Oryctolagus cuniculus: one gene and its partners. The protein of the gene in region 1 interacts with the protein of each later gene in a pairwise test. Links are inferred from orthologs where the notes say so. Each region holds a gene or a part of one and is shown in the gene's direction. Other genes may lie near its edges.

Region 1 (5,681 bases):
GGGTCGTGACCGCAGGCCTGATGAATACAGGAATCCTGATTGTAGTACCCCCTTCTTTCTTGTGGTTCCCTATCAGTTGGGATTTTAACTGGTTTTTGCGGAAGTTCTCTAGTTGCAAAAAGTTATTTTGGCTTTATTTTGCATAATGTATGAGGTGTCCGTCTTTGCCTTGGAAGTTTCTTGGTCTGTTCCCTCGAACACAAGTGCTTGTGTGGGGTGTGCCAGGGTTCTTGTGTAGTGTGTAAAAGCGTGCTGTTGATGCGGTTTTGAGAGGAAAAGGTCACTTGGCATCCAAGGGTGGATGCCTGTTTTAAAACTCTTGTCCTGATTGGTTCCTTCTTTCTCTTTTCTTCAGGAAGTGTGTTTTCTTTGATATTATTGACAGGACTAAGGAGAAGTTTCAAACTTAAATCTTTGCATATGCGCTGCTTTGGATGTGTATGTTGAATTTTGTACCTTTATCTTCACTTGCAGAAATAAGCGGGTTTTGAAAACAAAAAGGAGAAGGGGTGCACGTGGAGGCCAGGATCCGGGCCTCCATCCTCACAGGAGCGAAGAGGCAGCTGGGAGTTCTCCTCCCACCACCACCACCACCACCGTCGCCATGGGTCCCGACTGCCCACCGCCTCCCCCTCCCCCTCCCCCCAACAACAACAACAACAACAACTCCAAGCCCAGCGGCCACAAGAGCCCCTGCGTGCCCAACATGACCGAGCGGCGGCGCGACGAGCTGTCGGAAGAGATCAACAACCTGCGCGAGAAGGTCATCCGGCAGTCGGAGGAGAACAGCCAGCTGCAGAGCCAGGTGCAGAAGCTCACGGAGGAGAACAGCACCCTGCGAGAGCAGGTGGAGCCCCCTGCCGCCGAGGAGGAGGCCGAGGAAGACGAGCTGGAGCTGCGCGGGGCCGCGGCAGCTGCTGCCCCGCCACCCCCCGTGGAGGAGGAGTGCCCCGAGGACCTCCCGGAGAAGTTTGATGGCAACCCGGACATGTTGGCGCCCTTCATATCCCAGTGCCAGATCTTCATGGAAAAGAGCACCCGCGATTTCTCCGTGGACCGTGTGCGTGTCTGCTTCGTCACCAGCATGATGACGGGCCGTGCGGCGCGGTGGGCCTCAGCCAAGCTGGAACGTTCACACTACCTGATGCACAACTACCCCGCCTTCATGATGGAGATGAAGCACGTCTTCGAAGACCCCCAGCGCCGGGAGGCCGCCAAGCGCAAGATCCGCCGTCTGCGCCAAGGCATGGGCTCGGTGGTCGACTACTCCAACGCCTTCCAGATGATCGCCCAGGACCTGGACTGGAACGAGCCCGCGCTCATCGACCAGTACCACGAGGGCCTGAGCGACCACATCCAGGAGGAGCTGTCCCACCTGGAGGTGGCCAAGTCCCTGTCAGCGCTCATCAGCCAGTGCATCCAAATCGAGAGACGGCTGGCCCGGGCGGCTGCGGCGCGCAAGCCCCGCTCCCCGCCGCGTGCGCTTGTGCTTCCCAACGTGTCAGGCAACCACCAGGTGGACCCCACCGAGCCCGTGGGGGGCGCCCGCATGCGCCTCACCCAAGAAGAGAAGGAGCGCCGCAGGAAGCTGAACCTATGCCTCTACTGCGGCACCGGTGGCCACTACGCCGACAACTGTCCTGCCAAGGCCTCCAAGTCCTCGCCGGCGGGAAACTCCCCGGCCCCGCTGTAGAGGGACCTTCAGCGACCGGGCCAGAAATAATAAGGTCCCCACAAGATGATGCCTCATCTCCACACCTGCAAGTGATGCTCCAGATCCATCTTCCGGGCAGACACACCCTGTTTGTTCGAGCCATGATCGATTCTGGTGCTTCCGGGAACTTCATCGACCACGAATACGTCACCCAAAATGGAATCCCACTGAGAATCAAGGACTGGCCAATCCTCGTGGAAGCGATCGACGGGCGCCCCATCGCGTCCGGCCCGGTCGTCTACGAAACTCACGACCTGATTGTAGACATGGGAGACCACCGAGAGGTGTTGTCCTTCGACGTGACTCAGTCTCCTTTCTTCCCCGTGGTCCTGGGCGTACGCTGGCTGAGCACACATGACCCCAACATCACCTGGAGTACCCGCTCCATCGTCTTCGACTCCGACTACTGCCGCTACCACTGCCGCCTGTACACGCACCTGCCGACTGCGCCCCAGCCGCACCTCTACTACCCGGTGGACGGCTACCGCGTGTACCACCCGGTGCGCTACTACTATGTGCAGAATGTCTACACCCCAGTCGACGAGCATGTCTACCCAGACCACCGGCTGGTGGACCCCGGCATAGAGATGATCCCAGGAGCGCACAGCATCCCCAGCGGGCACGTGTATACCCTGTCGGAACATGAGATGGCGGCGCTGCGAAACTTCGTGGCCAGGAACGTGAAGGACGGGCTCATCACCCCCACCATCGCCCCGAACGGGGCCCAGGTCCTGCAGGTCAAGAGGGGCTGGAAGCTGCAGGTGTCCTACGACTGCCGCACTCCGAACAACTTCACCATCCAGAACCAGTATCCTCGTCTGTCCCTCCCCAACCTGGAAGACCAAGCCCATCTGGCCACCTACACCGAGTGTGTACATCATGTGCACTGCTGCCATTCTTGTCATTCATGCCATTTTTATCATTTGTGCCAAAGGTGCCATTCGTACCATGCCTACCCTTCGTACCCAGCCTACCCTGTGGGCTACGCCTGGTACCCAGTGGGCCGAGACATACAAGGAAGAGCGCTCTACATCCCTGTCATGATCACCTGGAACCCGCACTGGTACCGCCAGCCCCCCGTGCCGCAGTACCCCCCGCCGCAGCCGCCGCCGCCGCCGCCGCCGCCCCCGCCGCCGCCGTCGTCCTACAGCTCCCTGTGAGCCCGCTCGAGGCCGCGGGACCCCCGCCCTCCGGGCCTCCTCCTGTCCAGCTTCCCCGTCAGTGACTGTGTGCTGAAGGCGGCCGCCGGTGCCGCAGGTCAGGCATCGGCCAGCGCCTGCCCGCTGCGCTCTGCCCCGACTGCCATCTCGCGGGAGTCCACCTTCCAGCCTCCGTCACCACCCGGATTTCTAGCTGCCAAATTCTGAACCCAGAAGCTGACCCCACACAGGAAATGCTGACTTCTCCGAGGAGGGGGAGCGGAGGAGGAGGACAGGACTTCTCGCAGTTTCGGTCCTCTGAGTTACACCCCTGGAGGACCCGCGCCTTATGAAGGAAGCCGCATTTACTGGTGCAGTGGGCAGAGGCTTCCGTGATGCTAGTGCTGCACCTTCAGAAACTTCACCTTCTTCGAGCTCCACGTTCATGGTTCCGTTAATTCTCAAGGAGCAGCAACTCGACCGGTTCTCCCAGGAGCGGGCAAAACCCCTGCAACAGGAAACACCTCAGGCCTGGAAAGGAAGTGCTCTATCAGAGACTCTGGCGCGTTAAGAGTGTGCCTTCACACCCTGGTGCAAATCACACGTACCCAAGAACTCTGGCTCGACACAGCATCGACACAGCATCGTACCATCACCACGCCAGGAACAGCTTCCACCAAGCGTTCCGTGTCTGTGACGTGTCATGACCACCTCTCAATGACGCGCGTGGGCCGAAGAACAGCGAGTGGATAGGACTCCTAAACCCTGTACCCAACTCTTAAGAGACTCAGAGTTCCTTGTTTCCAACTTTTAGTGGTCTTTCAGAGGGAGTTTTCACGAGTGTTGGTGACGGGTTGCAACAGCAGCAGCTTACAGTTTTGGAAACATCTATCTGTGTGTGTGCCTCCATACGCATCTGGGCATTCCATCCTCAGTTCCCTCATTGGACTGTACCATTTTAGGATGCTGAGAGAGGGGCAATGATTTTGCACTCAGACCCACACTCCTGTACAAGGGAGGGATGGATGTCTTTGAGGAAGAGAAATTGTCTTGAGGATACTGACCTTCCTGGTGAGCTTTTTCATTCAACAGGGTGACCTGATGTAACCACTTTGAAAGGATCCCTCCAGGTGATGGAGCCAACATGAAGCTCTCAAAAATTGGGTGAAAGGCCTCACACACAGCTGTTGCCAATCCAGTGACCCCTCTGGTGTCAGCTGGACGCTCTGTGCTAACCTGGGACTGCCTGACTTCTTTAGCCTGGTCCCTTGCTATTACCTTGAAGTGTTTGTCTAACCTCTTTGTGTTTGATTCTTTACTACTGCCATTAACCCTGATGCAGGATTTGTGTCATCTTCCTGCTTGGTTGCTGAGACTTCATTTTGCTGCCTGGCAAAAGAAGAGGCAGGCTTCAAGGAGCGTGTGTTTGAACACACAGGCCTCCCATTGCCAACAAGCAGTTTGAGCAGTAGAAATAGTATCGCTTACCTTTAAATTGCTGCCATGAAGAGGAGTCTGATGGTGAAGTTTACTTTTTCATCAACATCCTTCACATGTGTATTGCCCCCCTTTCCTCCTGCATGTTTAAATACTTTGAGCTGTAGTAGTGTACCCTCAGCAGTGTTTTCAAGTGGTGACTGTGCTTTCAGAAATTTCCATTGAATTACAAAGGACTAATTCTTATTGATAAATTAAGTAAAAATGATGGTATAGCTTTGCATAAAGTGTTAATTTACTGTGAATTTCTTACAACACTGTGAATGTGTGGCTCCTCAAAACTGAAGTATTTGTACAATTGTTTATCTTTAATCTTTTAATATTAAGTATTTCAATTTATCAATTGACCTTTAAAAATCACAGAAAAAGGACCTACAAGTTCAATGAGGAAGCCTAATTGGCTACTTGTTTAATCTAAAACCAGTTTCCCTTTTTTCTTCAATGGAATTAGAAAGCTTGTCCTCATGTGTTTAGAGTAATTACCTTTAAAATGGTGCATTTGTGCTTCTGGACTATTTTGAAGCATTACTTCAGTTTACCTCAAATCAGTCCATCCTCCATACATTTGAACTCAACACTGTTCAGTGTCAGACTTAACAGTTGTTGATTGACTTCAAGCTGCAGAGTGCCCAGACACCGGCCTTTGCCTGCAGCACCCAGCCCCAGCCCTGGCATGTGCACACAGACATTTGCCATCACTACAAGTAGAAACCTGGAAAAGTTGGCCAACGACAACAACCGTCAGGGAGAGCATGCTGGTATGGGTTAATTGCCCCCAGACAGTCCCTGGCACATGTTTGGCTATTTACTGAAGCTTGTGATGGACTTTCTGGCAGTGTGTACAATGCTTTATTGCTGTGATCTATAAGTATTAGAAATTAAGGATAAGTAATCTTAGATTTATTGTTCTATGATATTGACATTTTGACTAAGTTTCCTTTCAGTCAATTCACTTATTTTGTTGCTATTGATCAAATTAATATTAATTGGATCCTTTAAATTTTTGGGGCATTTTCCAACAAAGATGCCTTTTTTCATAAGAAAGGAGAAAAGCAAAGGATAAATAAAGAAGTTAGAAAGGGAGCAAAATAAAATATGAAGGCAATGTACAAATCAAAACATCAGAGTTATTAAGTAAACCAGTGATCAAGTCTTTGGAAAACAAAACTGAAATTAGTTGACTTTTGGCTAACGTGTACATTGATCATTAATTAAATCAAGGTGAAAGAAGAACTCAGTGCTCCCATTGTTAAGCAAGCCTAGAGAGAACTAACTAGCTTAGGTCATCATGCTAGGATATTGAAACAGGAAGTTTACATACATTCATGAAG
Region 2 (5,282 bases), on another chromosome or scaffold:
TGGTTTGGCAAAATATCAGCCACCACCACTGTAGGGGCTGGAGCTTCTGCCTACAAATTTTCCTCCCTTTATACGTTCAAAATTTGAATATTGATATTGTAATTGCCAAAATCACTGTAGCTTCCACCACCTCGAAAATTGCTTTCATCGTTATCACATCCATTGTAGCCATCCCATTGCCACCACATTCACCACCACTTCAGCGGTTACCAAAGCCACCACAACCACTGCAATTTCCTCCATGACCAAAGTTTCCATTGCCACGAAAACCACCCACCATGATCACTATGAATATTTCCAGAACCATTTCATCTGCTTTGGGTAAGTGAAGCGTACTAACCATCTCTCGCTTGGACAGAGCTTCCCTCACTTCACAGTTCTGACCATTCACAGCACAGTATTTCTGAACGACAGTCTTATCCACAGGGTCGTGGTCATCCAAGGCCACAAAAGCAAAACCCCTCTTCTTGCCACTGCATCAATCAGTCATGATCTCAATTACCTCGATTTCCCCACACTGTTCAAAATCATCTCTGAGGGGATGTTCTTCAGTGTCTTCTTTAATGCGATGACAAAAGATCTTTTTCACAGTTAGGTGCCCCCTCCCCCATCTTTGAGAGGCTTGAGACAGCCATTTTTGGTTCCACAGTTCTTCCATCCACCTTGTGTGGTCTTTAAGTCATAGCTGCCACCACCTCCTTCATGGTGGCATAGATGACAGTTCCTGGAACCTGTGGAGTTTGACCTCATTACCACACGGTCACCATTGCTCAAAATGGCTCGTCAGACTCTCATCAGTTGTTTTAGAGCTCAACCCTCTGATGGAGAGCTTCCAAAGCTGTTCCAGCTTTTTAGGGGACTATGGCTTAGACATGACAGCAGCAGTGAGAGAGATTTTGATAATGCTTCCTCAGTGGCATCCTTGGGCAGAAAGGAGTACACCAATGAACATATTTCAAGAATCCATTTTCTATTTAGAGATCATGTTGTCCACAAATAACAAGTGCTTTCCTTCTTGCAGTCCAAACTTTTATTTCTTTTTCCTTTACCTACTTGCTTTTTCCTAACTTCACTGCCTAGAAGTGTTTAGAGTGTACTTACTTGCCTTACTCTTGAACTGACGGTGAGAAATATTCTAGTTTCCCCAGTTTAACTGTGATGTTAGCTGTACGGGATTATTTTTATAGATGCCTTTAATCAGATTTAGGAGTTCCCTTCTACTCCTGGTTGAATGACAGTTCTTTTTTGAATCATGTGACACAGAAATCCTTCTTGTAGGTATTTACCCTAGAGAAGTGAAAATATGCTCATGCAAATATTTTTACATGATTGTTTATAGCTGATTCATTTGTAATTGCCAAAACATGGAAACATGCAGAATGCCCTTCAAAAGGCGGCTAAATTACCAACTGTGGCATGGCCATACTGTAGCAAACGGACTCCAAGTGGCCTCCATCCCATTATGTCGCTCCCTAATTCGCGGAGGAACGACACCAGACCCTGCGCTGTTCTTTTGTCTGCTCGGCCCTTCCCGGGTTTGCTGCCCTTCCAGGTTAGCTGCCGTCCCCCCCCCCCCCCCCCCGCCTCCGCAGAGGGGCGGCACCCCCGCCGCTTTCCCCACTTCCGCGGAGGAGCAGCACACCGCTGGCCAGCTCTCTCAGGGGTTGCTCAGATGTTCCTCGGATGTTGCCCTCTTAATGCCTAAGTGGTTAATGGGGAATGCAATTGGCTTCTAAACAATACAATATGAAAAAGGTGGTGATCTGTTATTGTAATGATTATGTTACATTATACATGACTGCATTTTGCAAGCAGAATCACTGTATCTCTCCTGCAAGCCTTAGAGCTAGCAGCAATGTCGTGAATTGCCTATGGATCAGCAAAATAGGTAACAATTATGGTTAGCATTTATAATAAATTGAGATTTCTTAACATTTAACCTGCCTTATATTAATTGCTCATGGTGCTTTATTATTTTAATATTCTGTCCTGGACGATATTTGCTCACATTGGGGGCCCTCCTGTTGATACTGCAAAACCACCATATCTGCTGCCAGGGAGCCATTTCTTCTCTGGCTGAAAGATACATGAAGAAGCAGTATCCCAGAACTGCATTCTAGGCATCCGGAGCCAAGGGTCTGCCTAGAAATACCCAAGAAAAAGATGAGGGGGGGGACGTGGAGGAGGGCAGCAAGAGGACTCATCAACTTTCAGAACTTGAAATCTGCTGTCGCAGATTAGCGAACTCGCCTTCAACACTCAATCCCAAATCTCCTGGGCTCATCCCCCATCCCCGCTCCGCCTCTGCAGTCCCCCTGGGAAAACTCAGGCCCATCCTTCAATTACGACCCCGCCTCCTTCAGGGTATTTGGCCCGCCCCCTCAACACCCACCCACCCCCGTTCCCACTTTCCCTGCCCTAGCGCGAGACGCATCTGCGGACTAGTGACCATTCAGATTTGCAAGCAAAAGCTACTGAAGTGAATAAGCCCCGCCCTGGCCCTGCCCACCCTGGGCCTAGACCCGCCTCCGTGGAAACGCACTTCCGGGGACGCCTCCTTGCTTGCTGACCTCTGCACAGCCCTGCAGAGCCAGCAAAGCCCAGCAGAGCAAGCAAGGCGAAATGGACGGTCGGGTGCAGCTGATAAAGGCCCTGCTGGCCCTGCCGATCCGGCCGGCGACACGTCGCTGGAGGAACCCGATCCCCTTTCCCGAGACGTTTGACGGCGACACCGACCGGCTGCCGGAGTTCATCGTGCAGACGGGCTCCTACATGTTCGTGGACGAGAAGACGTTCTCCAGCGACGCGCTCAAGGTGACGTTCCTCATCACCCGCCTCACGGGGCCCGCCCTGCAGTGGGTGATCCCCTACATCAAGAAGGACAGTCCCCTCCTCAGTGATTACCGGGGCTTTCTGGCCGAGATGAAGCGCGTCTTTGGCTGGGAGGAGGACGAGGACTTCTAGGCCGCCGGAGCCTCGGGCCCGGGGCCGGCTGCCCTGGGGAGGGTGGGCTGCCCGCCGGCCGCCGCCAGGGTCGCCGCGGGCGGCCCCCGCCGCGCTCGCGCCCGAGTCGAGTCCCGCCGCCCCCCTGCTCCCCGAGTCGCCGCGGCGTCCCCTCGCCCCCGCCCGCCCGCCCGCGTCGTGCTTGCCTTTGTTCCAGGAATAGCGCTCCAGGCTGGCGCTGCTGCCTCTGGGCCTGGCTCTGGACAGCGCCGCCGCCCTGCCCGCTGCCGCCGGCCCGGCCTGTGCCCTGCACCGGGGGCCGCCGTCCGGCCCTCGGGCTGCAGGCTGGGCCCCCGCCGCGCGGCCGACGACCAACCACGCACCGCCGGCCGCCCCCCGCCAGCCCGCATCGCTCTGCCCACGCACCTGCGCTGCCGCCGCCGCCGCCGCCGCCGCCCCCGGCCTCCCGCCGACAGACTGCTCTTCTGAGCCACCTGGACTCCCCTCCGAGGGGTCTGGGCTGGCCGCGGCCCTCGGACCCCGACTCCGACAGCCGGCTGCCCGGCGGGGCCAGCCGGCCTCCCACCATGAGTGAGGCCGCGCCCCCTCCTCCCAGAGACACCTTGAGGGTCTGGGCGCCGAATCGCGCCTGTCATGTCCTCCCGTGGACATGACAGTAGTTCTCCCCGCCCCCCCGAGTCCCGGTTCTTCCGAACGTGCAGCTGTCTCTCTGATGTGTGCCTTGTGTCCCACACTATGACCCTGTGGTCTTCGCGGCTCTTTTACACTACCTGTACAGAAGTCTTTCCATTCTTTCAATAAATGTCAGACCCTGTCCAATAAGAAACTGCGTTCACTGAGTGTGCCACCTTTCCTTGTGTGATCTTGCCAAATCGGTCCATATTTTCTTCAAAACCACATTTGAGACTGCATGGCATAGTTGTAATTCTGCCATCCCATACTGGGGTTCTGGTTGGAACCCCACCTTCTCTTGCCATCCAGCTTCCTGTTCATGTGCTTGGGAACGCAAGAAAAAATGGCCCAAGTGCTTGGGCCTCGCCACCTGTGTGGGAGACTGGGTAGAGTTCCTGGCTCTTGGCTTTCTCCTGGCCCAGCCATTTGAGAAGTGGACCAGCAGATGAAAGTTCTCTCTTTCCCTCTGTCTGCTTTTCTATCACTCTTCCCTTCAAATAAATAAAATAATAAAGAAGTCTTAAAACAAATCCATATGCGCTGACATTCGATGGTTCATATGGCCTTTACATCGAGTCCTCTGGTTGTCCTGGGAATGGAGACCTCACTGGTGACCATTCAATCCCAGCTGCTGAACTCTCTAAACCTGTTAGAAATGTTGTAAGCCTCTTTGGAAATTGATGTGTACCTCATTTATGGCCAAAGGTGATTTGAAAGTTCAACCAGGTAGCCTCTTTTTTATTTTAAAGATTTGTTTATTTATTTATTTGAAAGGCAGTTACAGAGAAGCAAAAGCAGTGGTTTACACTCCCAATTGGCCACATTGGCCAGGGCTGGGCTAGGTCGAAGCCAGGAGCCAGGAATTTCATCCAGGTCTCCCATGTGGGTGCAGTGCCCAAGTACTTTGGCCATCTTCCACTGCTTTCCCAGGCATATTGTTAATGTAGGTAGAAATTTGGTTTGTAATCTGCAGAATAGTACAATTTTAGGTTTCCTTAAGATGGAGAAAAAATTATACCTACCTGTTTCTATACATGCTAATCTCTTAGGTTTACTCTCCTGAAAAGTCTTTGTTACCTCATCTGTCTCTGGGAAAAGTTAAATATCCCAACAGAATCAGATGTTCCTGAAGTGGGCTGATAAGGTAACACTGAATCTGCTCTCATCCTCACTTCTAGTGTGTGTGCTTTTCCAAACCATATGAATGTAGAATAATGCCCAAGAGGTGTTTTACATTTTATTGTTTGTCTAATTGACAAACAATAAGGTAAATAAGGTAAAATTCTGTCATTCATGTGCAGTCATTTGTAGGGTTGTATGTAGAGCTTGAAGGTACATTATTTGGCTGTGTTTTATATGTGATATTTTTTTTATTCCCAGAAACCTGGAAACATCATTAACTCACAGTTTGACATGTCAAGGTCTTTCTAAAAATCCGAGAAAACTGAGATTTCTTAACAAAGTGAAGTTTTTTATGATTTATGGGGCTGATAAAACAATGAGAATCAGGTTCGTTATGAGAGCCAATTCAAGGTTCTCATTAGTCAGACCACCTTGATGTGAATAAAGGACAACTGTGTTAAGTATATTTGATGTTTGGCTTTAAAGTAGATTCTAATGAGGTGGTGTTGAAAGTGTTTGGAAGC
Region 3 (5,226 bases), on another chromosome or scaffold:
TTAAACACCTTTTGTTGTCAGCTTCCAGTTACCTAGAACAAATTGATTACTGTAAATTTCAGCAACAGAATTGACAATGAAGCACAGAATGCTTAAGGGCTGGCTGTAGGATTCTATAGTCTGTGGAATGAAAAGCAGTCAGTGTATGAAGCTAATAACAAATAAATGACTTATAAATAAGAGTCATAGTTTCCAGAGGATTTCAAAATTACTAGGTTTTCAGGGCCAGGGTTGTGGCATAGTGGGTAAAGACCTCGCCTGCAATGCATGCATCAGCTATGGGTGCCAGTTCATGTCCCGGCTGCTCCACTTCCTATCCAGTTCCCTGCTAATGTGCTATTGAACAGAGCAGGAGATGGTCCAAGTCCTCAGGCCCCTGCCACCATGTGGGAGACCGGGATGAAACCCTCTCTCCTTTCTCTCTCTCTCTCTCTCTCTTTCTCTCTCTCTCTCTCTCACACACACACACACACCCACACACACCCCCACACACACTACACACACATACACACACACTGCATCTGCCACTCTCTGTAATTCTGCTTTTAAAAATAAATATAAATCTTTATTTTAAATTACTGGATTATCGGGCCCATAGTCTAAATAGTATTGCCTTGATTCATTTGTGTTCTACGCTGTGTAATTTTCTAGTCTCTCTAAATCACCTTGTAAACATTTTATTACAATTCTCCCACATTTAACATTAGAAAGATCCATCCCAGAGTCATGCTATTGTTTAGAAAATTTTCCTAGCCATGAAGACCTGTTACTCTTAAAGATAGGTAGAGATCTCCGTGAGTGAGATCCCAGTGGAAAGAACGGGTCATCAAAGAAGGAGGTACCTTTCTCTGAAGGGAGGAGAGAACTTCCACTTTGACCATGGCCTTGTCTAAATATGATCAGAGTCGGTGAACTCAGGGGGCTTCCAAAACCTTGGCAGCTCATGACAAGAGCCTAGGGTGATTACTGATGCCCTAAACAAGAGTGTCAATTTGTTAAGTCAACAACAGGAGTCACTGTGCACTTACTCCTCATGTAGGATCTCTGTCCTTAATGTGTTGTCCAATGTGAAGTAATGCTATAACTAGTACTGAAACAGTATTTTACACTTTGTGTTTCTGTGTGGGTGCAAACTGATGAAATCTTTACTTAATATATACTAAATCGATCTTCTGTATATAAAGATAATTGAAAATGAATCTTGATGTGAATGGACTGGGAGAGGGAGCGGGAGATGGGAGGGGTGCGAGTGGGAGGGAAATTATGGGGGAGGGAAGCCATTGTAATCCATAAACTGTACTTTGGAAATTTATATTTACTAAATAAAAAAAGAAAAATAGATAGGTTGAATGTTTAGTGTTTTTCTGACTATCCTTCAAGGCACTTCTGGTACTTCAGTGGTCTATATAGATCTACCAACAGTTAAAGAGACTATGCTGCAAACTGAAGCTAAATGGAAGCATTATTCTCCCTTCTACTGCTTTTATAGTCATTTATGTATCTCCTAACTCTAACGTTCAAACGTCTGGTCTGGTCGACAGGCCCCGTTTAGGGCAAAGGAAGTTTTCTGGAAACTCCATCCTAGTCACCTTCTCCAGCAAAGCTGTTTTTAAATCAGGACCGGCTCCACATGCCTGCACAGGAACATCTGTGCTCCTGTCCCTTCCCTCATGCTCCCTCTCCCTTCTACAGCATTGCCACTGTCGTTACACACACATGCATTTTCCACGTCCTTGAAATAGTCCAGAACTGCTGACGTGCTGTGCAAGGAGCACAGTATGAAATTTAGGGGAAAAACAGGTGTTGAAGGGATAATAGGTGTCTCGTGTTTCATAATTCGTGGCAGGATTGTGCCATAGACAAGTGATTGAACTAGGTAAATCACACACCGAATTTTACTGCAGGAAATTAAGGTATTTATTTGCATTCAACCCTCCGTACAGTAGCTGCTCAGGGTGTAATTACTTTGCGCTAGTACTTGGGGTTGGCCTGTAATGTTGCAGAGTCAACACCTCTCTGGCTGAGACACACGACCGAGTTGCACCATGTGTTCAGAGACCCTCCCTCAAAAGGCAGCCAGAGCCCAGATCCGCAAAGGGATGCGCAAGGGCGCGGAGTGAGGGAGGACGAAGGGCGACGCCCCCGGACTCGCTAACTTCCCCAAGTGGAACCAGAAGCTGTCCAAGAGCAGCAGACCCCAGCCTCGCCACACGCATCTGGGGTGTCGCGTTCCTCCGCGGCTCCCCGCCTTTCGCCCGCCGCCCGCCGCCCGCCTGGGACCGCCCCCTCCCGCCTCCAACTCCGCCTCCTCCAGGGCTGGCCACGCCCCCGGCCGCCCCTATCCCGCCCCCTGCCGCGCCTCCCTCTCCCCCCGCCGCTGCTGGCTCCCGACACGCGCCTGCGCCGTGCCGACCGCTCGGCCTGGTGGGCGGGCCCGCGCGCCGCCCGCAGCCCGGCGCGTGACTCCGCCCACACCCGCCCCTCCCCGGGCCCGCCTCCGCGACGAGTCCTCGCCGCGACGCCCGAGCGCAGCCTTCCGCGCAGCCCCGCCAGCCAGCTCGGCGCGATGGACAATCGCATGCGGCTCGTGAAGGCCCTGCTGGCCCGGCCGCTGCGGCCCGCGGCGCGTCGCTGGAGGAACCCGATCCCCTTTCCCGAGACGTTTGACGGCGACACCGACCGGCTGCCGGAGTTCATCGTGCAGACGGGCTCCTACATGTTCGTGGACGAGAAGACGTTCTCCAGCGACGCGCTCAAGGTGACGTTCCTCATCACCCGCCTCACGGGGCCCGCCCTGCAGTGGGTGATCCCCTACATCAAGAAGGACAGTCCCCTCCTCAGTGATTACCGGGGCTTTCTGGCCGAGATGAAGCGCGTCTTTGGCTGGGAGGAGGACGAGGACTTCTAGGCCGCCGGAGCCTCGGGCCCGGGGCCGGCTGCCCTGGGGAGGGTGGGCTGCCCGCCGGCCGCCGCCAGGGTCGCCGCGGGCGGCCCCCGCCGCGCTCGCGCCCGAGTCGAGTCCCGCCGCCCCCCTGCTCCCCGAGTCGCCGCGGCGTCCCCTCGCCCCCGCCCGCCCGCCCGCGTCGTGCTTGCCTTTGTTCCAGGAATAGCGCTCCAGGCTGGCGCTGCTGCCTCTGGGCCTGGCTCTGGACAGCGCCGCCGCCCTGCCCGCTGCCGCCGGCCCGGCCTGTGCCCTGCACCGGGGGCCGCCGTCCGGCCCTCGGGCTGCAGGCTGGGCCCCCGCCGCGCGGCCGACGACCAACCACGCACCGCCGGCCGCCCCCCGCCAGCCCGCATCGCTCTGCCCACGCACCTGCGCCGCCGCCGCCGCCGCCGCCGCCGCCCCCGGCCTCCCGCCGACAGACTGCTCTTCTGAGCCACCTGGACTCCCCTCCGAGGGGTCTGGGCTGGCCGCGGCCCTCGGACCCCGACTCCGACAGCCGGCTGCCCGGCGGGGCCAGCCGGCCTCCCACCATGAGTGAGGCCGCGCCCCCTCCTCCCAGAGACACCTTGAGGGTCTGGGCGCTGAATCGCGCCTGTCACGTCCTCCCGTGGACATGACAGTAGTTCTCCCCGCCCCCCCGAGTCCCGGTTCTTCCGAACGTGCAGCTGTCTCTCTGATGTGTGCCTTGTGTCCCACACTATGACCCTGTGGTCTTCGCGGCTCTTTTACACTACCTGTACAGAAGTCTTTCCATTCTTTCAATAAATGTCAGACCCTGTCCAATAAGAAACTGCGTTCACTGAGTGTGCCACCTTTCCCTCCGTGCTCCTACAAAGCGGGTCTGTATCTTGTTCAGAAACCGCATGACCTGTTTCAGTGTTTCTTTGGACCATCCTAAATCAAGATTCCACTCCTGCCGTGGTCCTGGGGATGGAGAACCTACCACTGAGCATTCTGTCGCTGGTGCTGAATCCTATAATGCTATTAGAAATGTTTCATAGCTCTTTGGAAATGAATCTTTACTTCTCTTTTTTTCCCCTAGGTGATTTGAGAATTCATCCATAAGGGTTCATTGAAATGATTTCCTTATTTCTCAAAAGTTATTTGAAAGCCCAAGTCTCAAATTGTTATAAAATATAAAATTTATACACTCATTGTTTCTAAGCAGCTGTGAAAGTTTTATTTACTCTGATTTTTTTTATTTTCATTTTCAAATCCCAAGAAACATTTTGAACATTTTCTTAGTTTCCAGTGATGCTGTGCACTTCTGCAAATTCCCAAGGGATCACCAGTGAGGTGAGCTAACTAATGTGAAAAGGCAGTCTGAGTGACTGGCCAGTTAAAAGGGGGAGCCAGAGGATGTTTTAGCCCTGTGTTATTCTCCCCCAAACTATTAAAAGTAAAGCAATCAAAAATCTCCTAATTGACTCTTTCTCGCCATAGCTATGTTTAACTGAATCACAGAATAATCAAATTCAATAATCAATGGAAACAAAGTAGGATTTTTCCTAAAAGAGGTAAAATTCTTTTTAAAAAAATGCTTTATATTTTAGCATCTTGAGCAAAATAATTACATTTAGACATTCTCAGTTACTGTGTAAATATTTTGCTTACAGGAAATATTATAATTGTTGACTAATTGTATGCCAAGTGGTTTAGTATGGACATTAACCTGTATGGTTCTCATAATCCCTAATCATTCCTTTCAGAATTTATTTAATCCTCATCAATATTGTTCACTTATCAATACATTAATAAATATTTTTAAAGCACACAAAAAAGTCCATTATTTAGAAAATGAGTGGAATTATACAAGTGTTTTAAAGAAGCATCTCCAGATCCTTGGTATTATAAGAAGTGTAACAAATGCAGACATGAGATTGTTCATTTAGTTTACAAACCTTGTTTGTGATACAAAAAGCATTAAAAGTATATATAAACTCTGTTAATGAGCAGAGAAATCATTATCACTCATTATTTAAGTGCAGCTTAATTTCATATTTGGTGTTGCAAAAAGACTGTACTCCCTCAGTAATTGTTGGTCAACAAAATACAATATTTTAATAAAATATATGATACTCATATGGAGTCTTATAGGGCACTGTTCTGATGCAATGTCAAATTTTGCCCCATTGCTAGTTTGGGCCATTTTCCAGTACATGGATGAGGTAGAGGAGTCAAATACAGCTATGTGTTTTCATGATTTTCCTCTTTGTTCATTGTAACAGGTAAGCTTTTGCCGTTTTTTGTCCATTTTGTGCTGCTGTGACAGTATTCACAGA

What was found. The genes of interacting proteins can lie anywhere in the genome.
Region 2: the proteins of PEG10 (region 1) and retrotransposon Gag-like protein 8C interact in binary tests that used the Homo sapiens proteins (3 or more experiments, as listed by UniProt). The two-hybrid records come from large-scale screens. The link is inferred for Oryctolagus cuniculus from reciprocal best matches to the Homo sapiens genes PEG10 and RTL8C.
Region 3: the proteins of PEG10 (region 1) and retrotransposon Gag-like protein 8B interact in binary tests that used the Homo sapiens proteins (3 or more experiments, as listed by UniProt). The two-hybrid records come from large-scale screens. The link is inferred for Oryctolagus cuniculus from reciprocal best matches to the Homo sapiens genes PEG10 and RTL8B.

What each region holds. Positions count from the first base shown.
Region 1 is NC_091447.1:41,284,756-41,290,436, reverse strand, and holds part of PEG10 (retrotransposon-derived protein PEG10), read left to right. Parts: intron 1-474; coding exon of another isoform or gene 475-604; coding exon 605-1,693; coding exon of another isoform or gene 1,694-2,874; 3' UTR 2,875-5,681.
Region 2 is NC_091453.1:112,806,305-112,811,586, reverse strand, and holds retrotransposon Gag-like protein 8C, read left to right. Parts: upstream 1-2,535; 5' UTR 2,536-2,622; coding exon 2,623-2,964; 3' UTR 2,965-3,790; downstream 3,791-5,282.
Region 3 is NC_091453.1:112,832,410-112,837,635, forward strand, and holds retrotransposon Gag-like protein 8B, read left to right. Parts: upstream 1-2,474; 5' UTR 2,475-2,566; coding exon 2,567-2,908; 3' UTR 2,909-3,734; downstream 3,735-5,226.